Ovis aries: one gene and its partners. The protein of the gene in region 4 binds, or shares a complex with, the protein of the main gene of each other region. Links are inferred from orthologs where the notes say so. Each region holds a gene or a part of one and is shown on either strand. Other genes may lie near its edges. The genes, in order: TMEM126B, ACAD9, ECSIT and NDUFAF1.

The links.
Region 1: NDUFAF1 (region 4) and TMEM126B share a complex: the UniProt entries of both Homo sapiens proteins name them as parts of the mitochondrial complex. The link is inferred for Ovis aries from reciprocal best matches to the Homo sapiens genes NDUFAF1 and TMEM126B.
Region 2: NDUFAF1 (region 4) and ACAD9 share a complex: the UniProt entries of both Homo sapiens proteins name them as parts of the mitochondrial complex. The link is inferred for Ovis aries from reciprocal best matches to the Homo sapiens genes NDUFAF1 and ACAD9.
Region 3: NDUFAF1 (region 4) and ECSIT share a complex: the UniProt entries of both Homo sapiens proteins name them as parts of the mitochondrial complex. The link is inferred for Ovis aries from reciprocal best matches to the Homo sapiens genes NDUFAF1 and ECSIT.

The regions. Positions count from the first base shown.
Region 1 is NC_056074.1:9,451,192-9,454,489, forward strand, and holds the end of TMEM126B (complex I assembly factor TMEM126B, mitochondrial), read right to left. Parts: intron 3,289-3,298; coding exon 3,105-3,288; 3' UTR 921-3,104; downstream 1-920. UniProt on the Homo sapiens protein: As part of the MCIA complex, involved in the assembly of the mitochondrial complex I. Participates in constructing the membrane arm of complex I.
Region 2 is NC_056072.1:58,823,777-58,827,734, reverse strand, and holds part of ACAD9 (complex I assembly factor ACAD9, mitochondrial), read right to left. Parts: intron 3,775-3,958; coding exon 3,674-3,774; intron 2,841-3,673; coding exon 2,762-2,840; intron 1,747-2,761; coding exon 1,572-1,746; intron 1,040-1,571; coding exon 966-1,039; intron 1-965. UniProt on the Homo sapiens protein: As part of the MCIA complex, primarily participates in the assembly of the mitochondrial complex I and therefore plays a role in oxidative phosphorylation.
Region 3 is NC_056058.1:13,601,224-13,605,611, forward strand, and holds the start of ECSIT (evolutionarily conserved signaling intermediate in Toll pathway, mitochondrial), read right to left. Parts: upstream 2,877-4,388; 5' UTR 2,793-2,876; intron 2,036-2,792; 5' UTR 1,943-2,035; intron 1-1,942.
Region 4 is NC_056060.1:35,045,285-35,049,701, forward strand, and holds the start of NDUFAF1 (complex I intermediate-associated protein 30, mitochondrial), read right to left. Parts: upstream 3,014-4,417; 5' UTR 2,962-3,013; intron 2,092-2,961; exon of another isoform or gene 1,998-2,091; intron 1-1,997. UniProt on the Homo sapiens protein: As part of the MCIA complex, involved in the assembly of the mitochondrial complex I.

The DNA of each region.
Region 1 (3,298 bases), on a different chromosome or scaffold from region 4:
CTAATCCCCCTTTATGGCCTCTTACAGAGACTTTGACAAGTACTGCTTCCCAAAGCCAAAGGAAAATATTGACATACTTCCCTACCTTTTCTATCGTATAAAAGGCAAATTGAAGTCATGGAGTAAGGGACAAATCTCTTCTGTTTTCAGTTGGCAAGGGAAGTGAACATATAAGTCAATCTCGCTATTTCCCAGATGACTGTCTCGGCATCTGAAGAAACAAAATACCCAGAATTTACAGAGAATTTGATTTACAAATCAAATGGGTCAAAGACGTGAATTGAAAACTCACAAAAGAAGAGGCCAGTACTTTATTTCATAATCAAATTTAGCTAGATTCACTTTTATGTTTTTCTTTTTTCCTCAAGATTGGGAAACTTTAAAAAGATTGATGTAGCTGAAACTGGAGAGGGACAGTCAGGATGTGAGAGGGGTGAGAGACGGTGGAAAGGTAGTGGGATTGATGGATTATAGATTCTGGTAAAGCCGGAGTAATGTGGTGTGAGAAGCAAAAGATGGGAAGGACAGGAAGTAGTGATCAGAATACGGAGTTTCATAACTGAGAATGTGAAGTGTTTGAATTTATTGATAATGATAAGGTCTAGAGAAACATAATTCGATAAAAATACATGCCATGTTATGTAGGACTTCCCAGGTGGTGCTAGTGGTAAAGACCTTGTCTGCCAGTGCAGGAGACCTAAGAGACGTGGCTTTGATCCCTGGGTTGGGAAGATCCCCTGGAGGAAGGCATGGCAACCCACTCTAGTATTCTTGCCTGGAGAATGCCATGGACAGAGGAGCTTGGCAGGCTACAGTCCATGGAGTCGCAGAGTCAGACACAACTGAAGTGATCTAGCATGCACATGTGTATGTAACTGAAAATTTCCTAGTTGCCAGATTAAAAAAAGCAGCAGATAGAATCAATTTTAATGTATTTTATTTATTTAACCCAGTGTATCCAAAAGAGTAACATTTCAACATGCAATCAAGATTGAGATATCTTACATAGTAAATCTTTAAACTATGTGTATTTTACATACAATGTATCTCACTTTAGACTAGTCACATTTCAAATGCTCAGCAGCCACAAACAACTAATGACTATTATATATTGGATGGCACAGGTTTAGAGTATGACCACGGGAATAAGTGGTATGATAGAGACCAGGGTGTTGAAAGAAGGGTCACCTATGTGAATACTGGAATCACTAAGAATGTTTTTTAGGCACTAAAAAGCACATATTAGACTTAGATGAAATGAGTTGGAGAGCTCTCTAAGATATACAGTGAAGTGAAAATTAATTTCTATTATATGTATGGATAATACCATTTATTTAAAAAAATATAAATTATAAAAGAAGACTATTAATGAAAGAGTCGTGCTAACTTAGTAGTTCTCTGGAGAATGGAGTAGAAATAGGATGGAGTGGGTGTAAAGGGGGACTTTCATGTCTTTTTATTCTTCTGGATCATTTGAATATCTCACAATGAGGTTTTCATGTACTTGTTGCTTAATAATTTTTAAGAGTTAATATTAATACCATTGATGTAGTTATCTACTTGACTTGGTTCCCTCTCTCCCTCCTTTCACCTGCCTTTTCCTCAGTTTCAAGTATCATGAGTTATTCTGAGAATATAAGTTGAATGGCTTACTGGCCGTGTTTTTGTTTTTGTTTTTTTTAATTAGCAGGAGTATATGTGTTTCAGATTGTTACATTTGATGCTGTAAAGCACCTCGTTAAGATTTCCATTTCTGCTCTAGGTTGCTTGGGGCCTCAGATGACCAAATCCTTAAATCTCAAGATGAACATGATTAAGACAGAGAAAAAGCTATGAGATTCCATTGCATGTCTTGTTTATCAGTGTTCATTTCTGGTACTAAGTTTCCTTAATTAAATGTGTAGCTCAGGAGTGCTATAGCAGACTTAAAGCAGCCTGCTGTGACCTCCTTGTTTAGATTAATCTTCTTAAGGGCAAGGACTGAATCTTTGTACCCCTGGTACCTGTATTAATTAATAGAAAATAGGTACTCAATAAATGTTCTTTCTTTCAAAAATATTTATTTGGCTGTGCTGGGGCTTAGTTGCTGCACATAGGATCTTTAATCTTCATTGGAGCAAGCAGGATCTTTAGTTATGGCATGCGAACTCTTTATAAGTTCCAGCATGTGGGATCTAGTTCCCTGCTGCTGCTGCTAAGTCGCTTCAGTCGTGTCCGACTCTGTGTGACCCCACAGATGGCAGCCCACCAGGCTCCCCCATCCCTGGGATTCTCCAGGCAAGAACACTGGATGAAAGTGAAAAGTAAAAGTAAAGTCGCTCAGTCGTGTCTGACTCTTAGCGACCCCATGGACTGCAGCCCACCAGGCTCCTCCGTCCATGGAATTTTCCAGGCAAGAGTGCCCTGACCAGGGATCAAACCCAGACCATGAAATATTCCAAAGGTTGTCTGCCCTGGGAGCATGGAGTCTTAAAAGTCCCTAGACCACCAGGGAAGTCCCAAATAAATGTTCTTTAAATAGCATAGTGAAGATGATTTGTTAATGATTAAAGAGCTACTAAGTATACTGAACTAGAGTTTAGAGGAATGGGCTGTTAGGTTATTTCTATATTGATTTCTTGTGAACTTTCAACTTTCCCTTCAAAATTTAGGACAATGTCACTTTTCCCCATAGCTTTCCCTTCTGCACAAGTATTTACCAGCTACATCCTCAATATGCTCACACAATTACAGGTATACCTCTCAAACCCTCTCACGCTCTGTGTTCACATTTCTAATTGTGAGTTTCTTCTGGGTAAGAACCATTTCTTATTAAAAGTAACACAATGCCTGAGACCTAGCAGGTGCTCCATAAATGTTTATGAATAAATAAATATATAAATGTATAGATTAGACCTTGGGGCCTCAAGCCTATTTCCACATATAATAATGAAACAGAGACAAAAACCTACATTTATTTACTATTTATTGAGCACCTGCTGTATACCGGGCAAAAGGAAAAGAGACAAACTGTCTATCCAGAACTATTTTTTAACTCTTTCGGCAATGCCTGAGTCCTTATAAAAAAGTTCATTCAGCTGGTTTAGTGTCCGTTCATTCTTCAGTTAATCTTCATGTACAGTTTTCTCAAGTGTACTTTCAAATATTGCATAGTGCTGCAGACCATGAAATATTCCAAAGGTTGTCTGAAGGATGAGAGGGATCACCATTGCTTTTATCTCTGTATGACAAAGCAGCAGCCAGTTAAGTAAAACCCTTCCTTTTGGTGGCAGGGGAACAGTATGATACCTAAAAAGGA
Region 2 (3,958 bases), on a different chromosome or scaffold from region 4:
CCTCCCCCACTCTGCTCCACTCCTCGGGTGCTGAGGCCTGGCTGGCACCCTCAGGTGAGTCTCTTAACATCTGTAAGGCCAGGGAAGTCCTGCTTTGACCCCTATGCACAGGCCAGGTGGCGGCAGCTTCCCCCAGGGTGAAGACACTTTACCCCAGGCCAGGTTGAAAACTTAAGACAGGACGAGCATACCAGCTGGCAAGATGTGGAAAACCTGGGGCCCTCAGGTCCACGTGCTGCTGGTGGGAACGTGAAACCGCAGCCACCGTGCAGGAGCCCGGTGGGCCCTCAGAGCACTCGGCGTGCAGTCAGCCTGTGCCCCCGCGCTCCTCTAGCCGTGCCCCCAGCAGGACAGCAAGCAGTGTTCCCACACAAACACGCACATGAGCGTTCACGGCAGTGCGACTCAAATGGCTTGAAAACGAACCAACCCAGGCGTCCCCAGCTGATGACAGGTGAACACGATGTGGTCCGTTCACCCGACACCTCTGGGACTCGGCTACAGAGCGTGAGAGAATCCCGACGCAGATTGCACGCAACGGAACGCCCCAGCAGGCAGGTCCACAGAAGCAGACGCTACAGCAGTGGCAGCGGGGCTGGCGCGGGGAGGGGAAGGCATGGCGCTGCTTTCTGGGGTGACGGCAACGTCCTGAAGTCAGACCCAGAGTCGGGCGCTGAGCCCAGTGACCATCTTGAAAATCACCACAGCGAGCATGCGGGAGACAGCAAATTCTGCCACGTGAATTACCTGTCAACGAAAAAACGAGACAATCTAACTCCAAGAGAAAAAGAATCAGGGCGCACACTCGGGACCCCGCCCTGTGCACCCTGCCCTCCACGGGCTGCCCTCCCAGACCTGCAGGCAGGAACCCAGCCCGCCCCAGGGAGACGAGGCCTCCAGCCGGGCGGGGGACACCCGGAGCCCGGTTCTCTCCGCTCCGCGGGCCTGGGCAGCAGGCGACGCACCTTGAAGCCGCCTCCGACTTCCCCGAGGACGTTCTCCACTGGCACCCTGGTGTTCTCAAAGTGGACCTCGCAGGCTGGAACACATTGGCCAGGAGCTCAGCTGCGGCCCCGGCGCTCGGCCCCCGGCCCGCATGCAGGCCACGCGGCTCGCTCACTCGCTCAGAGCCCCCGTGGCCTGAGCCGAGGCAGCTGAGAGGCTGAGCCCCTCGGCCTCTGAGGGACCCATGAGGACCGTGTGGCCGCTCTGGCCAGGCCAAGGGCCACGTCCAGGACGCTGGCCTCAAGTGAACCAAGTGCGCACTGGGCTGCAGGCGGGCTTGGGCGAGGAGGAGGGAGTGAAGGAGGAGGGGGCCCCGGGGGGAAGACGGGGGTCTGAGGTCCTGAGCCCCGTGACCAGGACCCCTCCAGCCCGGCCTCCCCTGAGGCTGGGCGTCCCACCGGGCAGCGGGAGCCTCACCTGGGAGTCATCACCGCCCTCCTCGCTCACAATTTCTCTCACATACACACGCATGTAGGCACACACATCTCCTGCCACACATTCGCACGCGCACACACGTGCATGGGCCGCACACTTCATCTCTCGCACACGCGCACAGCGCCACTCACTGTTGGAGCCTCGGATGCCCATCTTATCCTCGGGTTTCCCGTTGGTGACGCCACCAAAGTCTCTCTCTACTATGAACGCTGTGATCTTGTCCTTCACGGAGCCGTCGGAATCAACGACCTCCGTCTTCGCGAACACAGTAAAGATGCTGGCCAGTCCCCCATTGGTGATCCAGACCTGAGGAAAGAGAGCAGCAGGGCTCCAGAGAAAGCAGACGACTCCAGGCCGCCTGTCGGTGCCGGCCGCCCATCACAGCGCACGACAGCAGAGCGAGGCTTTCCCTGGAGGGGCGTGTGTGTCTGGGTCTCTGTGTGAGTGTGTGCAGTGTGTGTGTGTGGCAGTTCTGGTTCTAGCACAGGACACCTTGGGGTGGGGAGGGAAGTAGAAGGAGGCGGTGGGGAAGGGGAGAGACTCCTTGATAAATGGCTCTGCATAGAACTTACTTGGATTTTGATTCAAGCAACTTGTTTGGGGGGAAAAAAAAACACCGAACAGGTATGAGACAATCAGAAAACCATGGGTGCTAAGGAGACGGTAAGCAGTCATCGTGCTCAGCTGCCTCAGTCCTGTCTGGCTCCCTGTGACCCATGGAGTGCCGCCCACCAGGCTCCTCTGTCCGTGGCATTCTCCAGGCGACAGTACTGGAGTGGAGTGCCTTGCCCTCCTCCGGGGGATCTTCCCCCACCAGGGACTGAACGCACGTTTCCTGTGGCCCCTGCACCGTAGGCAGACTCTTTACCACTGAGCCACCGGGGACGCCCAGAAGCCATCATCATGTGTTCCGTGCCCAGCGGTGCTATGACCACCCTGCAGACCGCACCCAGCCCGCCCCGGCCACTACCCAGAGCTGCGGCACAACAGAGGCAGCAACGAAGGTAGGAGGCAGCTGCGGACGTTCCCAGCAGTACACGCGTGTAATAGAGAAAATTAGCAGACAGACCCACGAGTGCAGCTCAGCGAGGTGGGTGGTGCTCCAGAAGCCCGCAGACTCTGAGGCCGGGAGGCCTGGGTACCTATCCTGCCGCGAGGCGGACAGGACAGGGGTGGGTCAGGGAGCCTCTCTGAGCCCACTTCTTCTTCCAACAAAGGAAGACGGTCAAGGGGTGGTGTGCCCGGCCCGACGACCCCTGGAGCTTGGGAAGCGGCCAGTGAGTGCGCTGAAGGTCCGGCCACGGAGGCCACACGGCCGTACCTTGGAGCCGTTGAGGACGTAGTGCCTCTTATCTGCGCTCAGCGTGGCCCTGGTCCGGATGGAGGCGGCATCACTCCCACTGCGGGGACAGACACAGGTGGTTGGGAACAGACAAGCATCCTTAGGGCCCCCAGAGGAGGTTTCAGAGTGGAACAGGGGAGCTGACAAGCTCTTAAAGGGCCAGGTAATACATGCATTCAGCTTCGCAGGCTCAGACAATGTGTGCACAAGCAGGTACATTCCAGTAAAAGCTCACAAAAACAGGTGGCAAGGTGGGTTTGGCCAATCCCACGTTATCACCTTGGGTGAAACTGTCCGTGAGGACGTTTGGGAGGCCCAAGCAGAGATAGGCGGATTCACACGGTGCCAAGCTCTGAGATCAGCCTGCCGTCGGAAGCTGAGTCCACAGCAGCTGAGACTCTGGGCTGATGACTCTACCTTGCTGAACCTCGGTCCACAGCCTGGACAGTGCGGATGACTCCACCCACCCCACACAGTCTGAACGTCGCTGTGACTGTGACGCCTGAATGCTTTTTTTGTATAAGGAGGGTGGTGGTTTAATCACTAAGTTGTGTCCGACTCTCTTGGGACCCCGCGGACTGTAGCCCCCAAGCTCCTCTGTGCATGGGATTCTCCAGGCAAGAACACTGGAGTGGGTTGCCGTTTCCTTCTCCAGGGGATCTTCCCGACCCAGGGATGGAACTTGGGGCTCCCGCATTGGCAAGTGGGTTCTTTAGCGAGCACTGAGCCTCCAGGAAAGCCGATAAGGAGGGTTGCAAAGCATAAAACGGTTACAGAACAGGAGCTGACGGGCCTGTTCTAGTCTGCCGGGGTCACCAGGGAGGAGAAGGGCGGTGGAGATGAGAGCAGGAAGCAGACAGGCAGAGAGGCTGCGGGGGGCGTGGGGCTGACCTGGCTGGCTCCGTCAGGCAGAAGGCGGCCACGTGCTCCCCGGACGCCAGCCTGGGCAGGTACCTGGCCTTCTGCTCCTTGCTGCCGGCCAAGATGATCCCCTGCGACACACACGGCTTGTTCAGCGGCAGCGAGGGGAGCGGGCGCCACGGGCTCGCAGAACACGCTCCCTTCACACAAGGGGGCCGCCTGGAGCTGGCAGCCCCGAAAAATAAACGGGGAGCTGCTGGGCGGCCAGAGAGCCCCCACACGGGGACAGGCCGGGCGGCCCGCCACAGCTTTGGG
Region 3 (4,388 bases), on a different chromosome or scaffold from region 4:
ATCTATTGAACTCATGTGAATTTTGTCCTTTAGTCTGTTAATATTATGTATTACATTAATTTTCAACTGTTAAACTCATTGCATTTCTCTGATAAATTCCATTTGGTCATGCTGTATTTCTCTTTATTTGCTGCTAGATTGGGTTGCAAGTATTTTGTTGAGGACTTCTGTATCCATATTCATAAGAGAACCTGGGCTAGAGTTTTCATTTCATGTCATATCTGTTTGCTTTGTTATCAGGGTGATGCTGGCCTCATAAAATGAGCTGGGAAGTATTTGGCTCACTCTTACCACCATTTAAACTTTCTCTAGCATCTCCTTCCGCCTCTGCTCCACATCTCTGTTCCATTTATAGCACGGCTTCTCCCAAGAGGTGTCTGCATATTACACTCCCTTCTCACTCTTTCCTACTTGGCTGCTGCCCCAGCCACTCCACTGACACCACTCCTGTAAAGACCCCTTGTGTGTTCTCCATTTAACAAAGCCAGTGATTATTTCTTTGGCCTCATTTTGCTCAATTTCTCAGAATTATCTCACATGGGTGAGGCCCTCCTCCCATGTTGACACTCTTGATTTTCTTCCTAGCACCCAGGCCTGTTTTTTTAGCCAATCAGCAAGCCCTGCTTCTTTCTCTAAAGTCTGCAATGTTTGCAAACTTGAATGTGCAGATGAATCACTGAGGATCTTATTAAAATGCAGATCCTGATTCAGCAGGTCCAGTGGAACCAGAAACTGTACATCTAAAAAACATCCAAGTGATGCTGATTGCTGCTGGTCTGAAGACCGAATTCTGAGTAATAAGGCTGTGAAGAATCCCACGTTCTGAATTTATCTGTCTGCTACCCTAAGACATCATTCAACTACCAAAAGAGGTGTTCCTCTCCTCTCTGTATTCCTGTAGGCAGCGCTAATGGTTTTTTAACTTTGTTCATATTAGAATTATCTTGGGAGCTTTAAAAAATTCCCATGTCCAGGCCATACCCCAGATATACTGAATCAAAATATATAGAGGTAGGGCCCAGGTATTAGCATTTTAAAGCACCACAATGACTCTAACACCCACCTGAGATTAAGACCTTATTCTAAACCTTTGCTATTCAAAGAGTATCTATGGGACCAGCTGCATTTGTGTTATCATCTGGGAGCTTATTAGAAATGCCAGATCTCAGCCTTAATCCAGACCTACTGAATCAGAATCTGCATTTTAGCAAAACTCCAGGTTTCTCCTCTGTGTGTTAAGGTCTTAGAAATGATGATGTGCTGATGCTCCTAAATGTTTATCACCAGTCCTGAACCCAAGTCTCCTGACCTAACTGCCACTTTGGTATTTTCCCCAGCCATCTCAAACTTATTTTGCTCCAAATCATATCCCTGCTTAAACGTGTCCCTCCTCATCTTAGCCAATGACATCACCACTGCTAGTCATTAAAATCACAAACCTGGGAATTCTGAGTCCACTGTGTCCCTCACTCCCCCAGTCCAATTCATCAGCTACTCCTGTTGCTTCCAAATTCATCTTAAATGCATCCATTTCTCTGCATCTGCAGGCCACCACTCCAGTCCATGATCTCTTTTCACCTATCCAGTCTCAACTTCTTTCCTTACCTGCCTCCAGTCATTTCTCCCTGCAGTGGTCAGAGGGAGCTTTTTAAAATGTAAAGTAAATTTAGTGTTCTCTGCCTAAAATCACTGAAACAGCACACAAAATTAAATCAGAATCTGCCCCTCAAAACTCTTTTCTTATTACTGGTAGCTCCAGCTATACTTGTTTCTTAAACAAGTTCGCTTTATTCTAATCTCAGAGCCTTTGAACTTGCTTTTCTCTCTGTTCAGAAATTTATTCCCCCAGATCAGTCTCTGGTCATTCAGGCATTCAGGTCTATAGTCAAATAAGAAGCCTTTCCTGATCACCACCCCACTCCCCAATCTAAAGCCCCATTACCCTGCTGCTGCTGCTGCTGCTGCTAAGTCGCTTCAGTCGTGTCCGACTCTGTGCGACCCCATAGATGACAGCTCACCAGTCTCTGCCATTACCCTGATGAATGCATTTTAAGCAGTTATTAGCATCTGAAATCACATGTTTCACTTATTTATGATTTGTTCAATGTCTGACTCCCTGGGAAGATTGTGTGTGTGTGTGTGTGTGTATCTGCCTTATTGCTGTATCGTGTGTGTGTCTGCCTTATTGCTGTCTCCAGTGTGTGTGTGTGTGTCTGCCTTATTGCTGTCTCCAGTGTGTGTGTGTGTGTGTGTGTGTCTGCCTTATTGCTGTCTCCAGTGTGTGTGTGTGTGTCTGTGTGTGTGTGTGTCTGCCTTATTGCTGTCTCCAGCACCCGGGACAGTGCCTGGTATAATGTAGGTACCCAACAAGTGTCAGCTGAATCAGGAAGAGCTAAATTTCTACCAAACTTCTAAAAATCTGAACCCCTAGGCAGGATGGACCTACAGCAGCTCTGAGGCTGGCTGCCAGGATTTTGACTCCTTTGGGTGTCAGCGACAGACCCGGGGTCGAAATCCAACCTAGCGGCCGACTTGAAGCGTGACCGTGAAAGACGGCTCTAATCTCTCTGAGCCTCAGCTGTCTCATATGCAAAACTGGAAATTAGGGACGTGGAGAGGTAGGTAAGCTGAGTGCGGCTTTTGCCGGCACAACCCGGCCCGGTACGCCGAAAGGTCATGGTGCCCTGGCCCGGAAACCGGGGTCCTCCGAAGCCTCCCTCCCACACTGCCAGCCCAGAACGGGCCTCCCAGGTGCCCAGAAGTTCGCGCTTGCCTCCCCACGTGCAACCTACCTATTCACGCGGCTGGCCGCGGAATCCCTGCCCGTTCTATCTTGCCGCTGGGCGCCGCCATGTTGCCCAGAGATGTTCCGGGTCACGGGCCGCCAGGGAGACAGCAAATCAAGACCGCCGGTTTAGAGAGGTCCCGCCCCAAAGGGAGAAACGCCAATAGAAAGGTGGAAAGTCCTTGGTCCCGCCTCGTAAGGAGGCAGACCCTACCTTTAGGCCAACAGCACAGGGGACTTAGGAGTTTGCATGGGGAAGGAGTGACTGGACTTGTCGGGGGTGGGGGTGGGAGTAAGGGGCGGAGGTGTGTGTTTGTGAATACACCTGGGCGGCCCCAGTTTTCCCACCTGAAATGTGGGAATGAAATATTAAAGGTGGAAGTGATGTGGATTCCTTCACTTGTTCTACAAATGTTTGAGCCAGGCACTGAGTTGTCAGCATTACCATTAGTGACGGAGATGTGCTTGTGCATGCTAAGTCGCTTCAGTTGTGTCCCACTCTTTGTGAACCCTATGGATTGCAGCCCACCAGGCTCTTCTGTCCCTGGGATTCCCCAGGCAAGAATACCGGAGGCGGTTACCACTTCCTTCTCCCAGGGATCTTCCAGACCCAAGTATCAAACCCGTGTGTCTTAAGTCCAACCTGCATTGGCAGGCGGGTTCTTTACCACTAGCGCCACCTGGGAAGCTCAAGTAGAGACAGGCTCTGTTAATCTAGTTTCGTGGGTCTGGGCTAGTGCTTACTCCATCTGTGCCTTGATTGTCTCACTCCTGAAATGGGCCAAGTATAATAACCTTATGTATACGGGGGTTGTGGGGAGTATTAAAAGTTTTCTTTTTTTGCTGCACCATCCTGGCGTGTGGATCTTAGTTCCCCTACCAGGGATCAAACCTATGCACCCTTCAGTGGAAGCTCGGACCTCCAGTCCTAACCACTGGACCACCAGAGGATTCCCTATGCTATTGTTATTACAGGGGACTCAACATGGGGCTTTCCAGATGGCTCAATGGTAAAGAATCTGCCTGCCTACACATGAGATACGGGTTCTATCCCTGGGTCGGGAAGATCTCCTGGAGGAGGAAATGACAATCCACTTCAGTATACTTGCTGAGGAAATCCCATGGACATAAGAGTCTGCCGGGCTACAGTCTATGAGGGTGCAAAGAGTCAGAAATGATTGACCATGCGCACACATGTACACACACACACACACACACACACTGGGTACAAGGGGCAACTGCAAAGGCCCTTTATGACTGGCTGGAATGAACAGGGGAATATGAGGTCAGAGTGGTGTGAGGGGCTCCTGGGCTGCTCCCAGAAAGCCCTGGTTTTAGGCTAACAACCCAAATAGCACAAAATAAGGGGGGTTGGCAGTAGTAGAGGCTCCCGGAGAGGATAGTTCTCCGCTCCCATAAAGCTACTTTTGCAAGCCCTTGGCCTCCATGAAGCAGGGCGCAGACGGGGACAGAAAGATGCAGCCATCCTTAGGATGCCTCAGCGACTCTGCAGCCCCAAAACATCTGTCTCGCCAAGATTCCTGTGATTGGCCAGCCTAAGAGGGGCTGCAGCCAATCAACTGCCGGTCCAGGAGGGCTGGCG
Region 4 (4,417 bases):
ATTCCAGTGGTTAAGAACTCACCTTGCAATGCAAAGCACACCAGTTTGATACCTGGTCCGGGAAGATCCCAAATGCAGCAAGGCAGCTAAGCCCCTACGCCACAACTACTGAGCCCACGTGCTGCAACTACTGAAGCCCTCTTGCCTAGAGCTCATACTCTGCAACAAGAGAAGCCACCACATGAGAAGCCACCACATGAGAAGCCACCACACACCACAACAAAGAGTAGCCCTGGCTCGCCACAACTAGAGAAAGTCCACACACGGCAACGAAGACCCACCACAGCCAAAAAATGGATAAAAAAATTTTTTTAAAAAGGGGGGAGAGGCTTCTCAAACTTTAAAGTGCCTTGAATTTTATGGGAATTTTGTTAAAGTGCAGATCCTGATTTAGTGAGCACAGGATGGGGCCTGATATTCTGTATTTCTAACAAGTCCCCAGGTAATTGCTGGTGCAGAGAACACCTTTTAGGATTTAGTAAAGTCCTAACTCTTCTCTGACTCTGACCTCCTCCTTCTCTGCCAATCCAACATTTGACTGGCAACAAAGGGGATTTTTCTAAATATGATGGCCCTCCCCTTATTCAGCAATTCTGTCCAGAAATTAAAACTCCTAAAATGGTACACAAGGCCCTTCAAAATGCACCCAATTCCTTGGTCTCACTTCTCACTTTCATGGGCAATACCCTCAGCTCTTAACTACAATCATGTCTGATACACAAAAACACATCACTCAAAAATTACAAAAGTGACCAAACATTCTACTATCCTGGCTAATACAAGTGACTGCCATACCTGACCAGTCATAGCATTAGCCTCATTCTAGATACATAAGCTTCTTTCCTAATCATAGAATTACTTCCATCTCTCGACTACTTTCCCCCAAATCATATAACAGAAACCTAAGTCCAACAATAAGTCCCTTCTAACACCCTTTAAATGAGATGCCCCATGGCTTTATGTATTCTCTTCCACTATAGTAAGCCCAACTTGTTCAGCTATAAAGATGTTCCTGGTGGCTTCTGAATGGAGGGCACTGACACTGCTCTCCCTCCGTATTCTCATGAGAACCTGTGCATACATCTCACAGCCCTTACATACTATTAGAATCTTGCTTTTATCTGTCTACCTCAGTAGCCTGGCTTTAATCTTGGACTATGGCTTGAACCTAACTGATGCTCAAATGTCTGCTAAAATAAATGAACATCTTGTAAACGGTACGTTTTCACATGGACAAAAAGTAGAAGGGAACCAGGAGAAATAACCACAGTTGATCTCACGTCCTGGAATCACAGGTAATACCTCTACATATACAGAAATTTGGGAAATAAATGATAAGCCTTTAAAATGGAATCTGTACAATCATAAACACGAATTCTCATGAATACCATGCTTATGTTACACTAGTGAGTGGCAAATGAGGAGTATATACAAAAAATGCATATACACTAACATTACAAGTATAAAAATGTATGGACAAAAAAGATTTGGGGGCAAAGAAGAAAAAGACTTAGAATAGTGTGTAGGACAACGGGACTGTAAGTAATATTATTCACTATTTTTCAACCTATCAATAGTGTTACTACTTCTCTAATAATATAACTTTAATTGAAGTGTTTTGTTTCATTCTATTACCGATAAACATAAAGTCAAAATCATTAACTGGATGATCTCCAGATGAAGTTGCTGAGTTTTCCTGACAGTGTAACCTAAGCGGCTAAAAGAGAGGAGTATTAGCGAAGTTTGTGTACCCAAAGCTTACGAAATGCCAGAAACCGTTCTGAGTGCATTGATATTTTCACAACAACGATGAGAAAGGTACTATAATTATTCCAAATGCAGAGACAAACAAATGGAGGTTCCAAAATTAAATCACCCGAGGTCATACAACTAGTAAGTGGCCAGAGTTACTCTAGTAACCCCAGAATTATTCTAGTAACCCCAGAGTCCCAGTGTTTAGTCGGGGAGCGATCGTGACCGTGCCACAGCCCCCTTACCCTTCACCTGCTAGGGCCGTGTCACTCTCACAAGCTCCCGACACGCCAACTCCAAGCAGGCGCTCACTTGCCTCCCCTGCCGGCGCCTCAGAGTGACTTCCGCTCGACTCCCCGCTTTTCCAGACCGGGTACTCCACTTTTCCTGTGCGGGGGCCATCTGTTTTTCCTGTCCTGAGTAAAACCAAGCCTGATGACTCTAGAGTTCCGGTTGGGTGCAGATGGGGGAAAGAGTAATAATCTCAGAGCTCTATGAACTGAGGGGTTTTTTTGGTCGGCTATATTCCCAAAGGCTTCCCCACCCCGATCGCCAACCGCCAGATTTTTTCTGCCCTGTGTGAGAAAGTGGGGAGAATTTAGAGAAGATTTTCGCCTCTCCTTCCGGCATCCCACCTTCAGGCTGCAAACTCCATCCCGTGTCTTTCAAATAGGACCCAGATATTGCCAACATCCTTCGCACCTAAGGATCCAGGGTTCACTCGCGCTCCATCCCCACAGCCGCCCAAGAGAGGTCCACGGCCTCAGAGGATTGGTTCTGTGAATTGACCCCGCGGAATCTTTGGAGACCCACCACAAACTTGGACAGCAAACCATCCTACCCGCCCTTTCCCAATCTGGCCCCGTGGGGTCGCCCACTCTGCAGAGTTTCGATTGTATCCTGTGCACTTTCAACACCGAATCTTGATTATAATTATTCATTCACTTCTCACTTCCTCTGCCACGCTGCGAGCTCTCGGGTCCAGAAGATGTTCTTCTGTTCTCAGCACCTAGCAAAACGCCAGCAGGAATGAAGCACTCAGCCTACCTGACTTTGAATGAAAAGTAGGGCACTTAAACACGTATTCCAGGGTCCAAGACCTCGCCAAGTACAACTGCCTTTTCAAAGTTTCCTCCATCTCTCTTTTTTCACACCATCACCTCTTCCTTCTTTAAATTCTGCTTTGACTTCTCTAGCCTGTACACTTACCTGATTCTGGTTCTCCTACCTTCTTGAACCTTTTCTAGCTTCCTACTTTACTGACTCTTCTTTCTCCTCCCACAACCTTAAATGCAGGTTGTCTCCAAAACCTAGCCTTCGGCCTTCCTCTTTTCTTCTTCTCCTTTTTTTTCCCCTCTCCTTCTTCTTTTCTAGCTTATATATGAGTTATCTACAGACAGTCGGATAATTTCTTCCCCTGAACGCCAACATATATTTCCAATTTCTTGACAACAGGTTCAGCTGCAGGATATACCACTAGCATCTCAAATGTGATTTGTTGAAAACAGAAAATATCACACTTACCCATTTGAACTCTTCTCTTCCTTTCTGTTTCTGTAAATGCCCACATCCTTCTAAGCTGAAAATTCTTGGCTATCCTTGGCTTCTCTCCTTGAAACCTCTCACTGACCCTAAATCCTCTTTGTTTTGTTGCTCTCTTTTGATCTTTCACTCTTGTTTTCCAAATCCAGTGAAACCCCAATAGTTATTGCCCTATGAAATTTACATTCAGTCTGCTGATTGCCTTACTCTGAACACAATGGTTTGTCTAATTTCATTTAAAAATCACCCAGAGATAAACACAAAATTCCTTTGGCCTCCAAACATGCCACTCATCAATTCTAAGCCCTCCATAATCTCCTACTCCATCTATACTACTCATACTTATCCTCAATTTCTTATCTGTATGGTCAGGACATTCAAGATGGCTGTTTTGCTTTCTGTACAGCCCCATGGGGGCTTGATTCACTGACTTGACTATCCAGTCTCTTAAGTATAGGATTAATTAGTCCCTCGGAACTGAGGAGACCACCTGACATCAACTCCCCCTTTTATAAATGGTAGCCTTTTTCTCCCTGCCACCAAGTATGGAAGATCGCTGTGTTCTATTTGCAGCCCTCAGTAGGGTGTTGTTCCAGGACCTTTTGCTTCAGATCACCTATCCAATAAATCCTTGATGTTTCTGTCCCTGTTTCCAGGCTGTTTCATGCGTTTGGAGGTTGGGCCTATGGGATGTGGCCCAACACCATCCCAGGTGGTATCTACCTAAACCACACTCATTTCTCCTCATAAGAGAGTTTATACTTTCTCAGCTTGATGTTCCTCTCTTCCACATCCCGTTCATTTGATCACAAGTATTTACACAACTTCCCCATTCCCACCTTCCCCCAACCCCCCAGCTTCAGCTGACTGATCTAGTGGTAGAAAGCTGGCCAGTACTGGGTCAGTCAGTTAGTCCTAGGGACTTTCTGAACTAACGTTGGAAAAGAGACCTTCTGACCCCAGGTGATGCTGGTGCAGGAGCTCCTGAGTGACCTTCTAGTACTGTGAAGAAAACTGGTTTATGGAAACAGAAAATAATATCAAGATGCTAAGAGGGACAGAAATGGAAGGATAAAAGATGATCCAGTCAGCATTTATACTGATAGTTCTAGTTGCTGAGGCT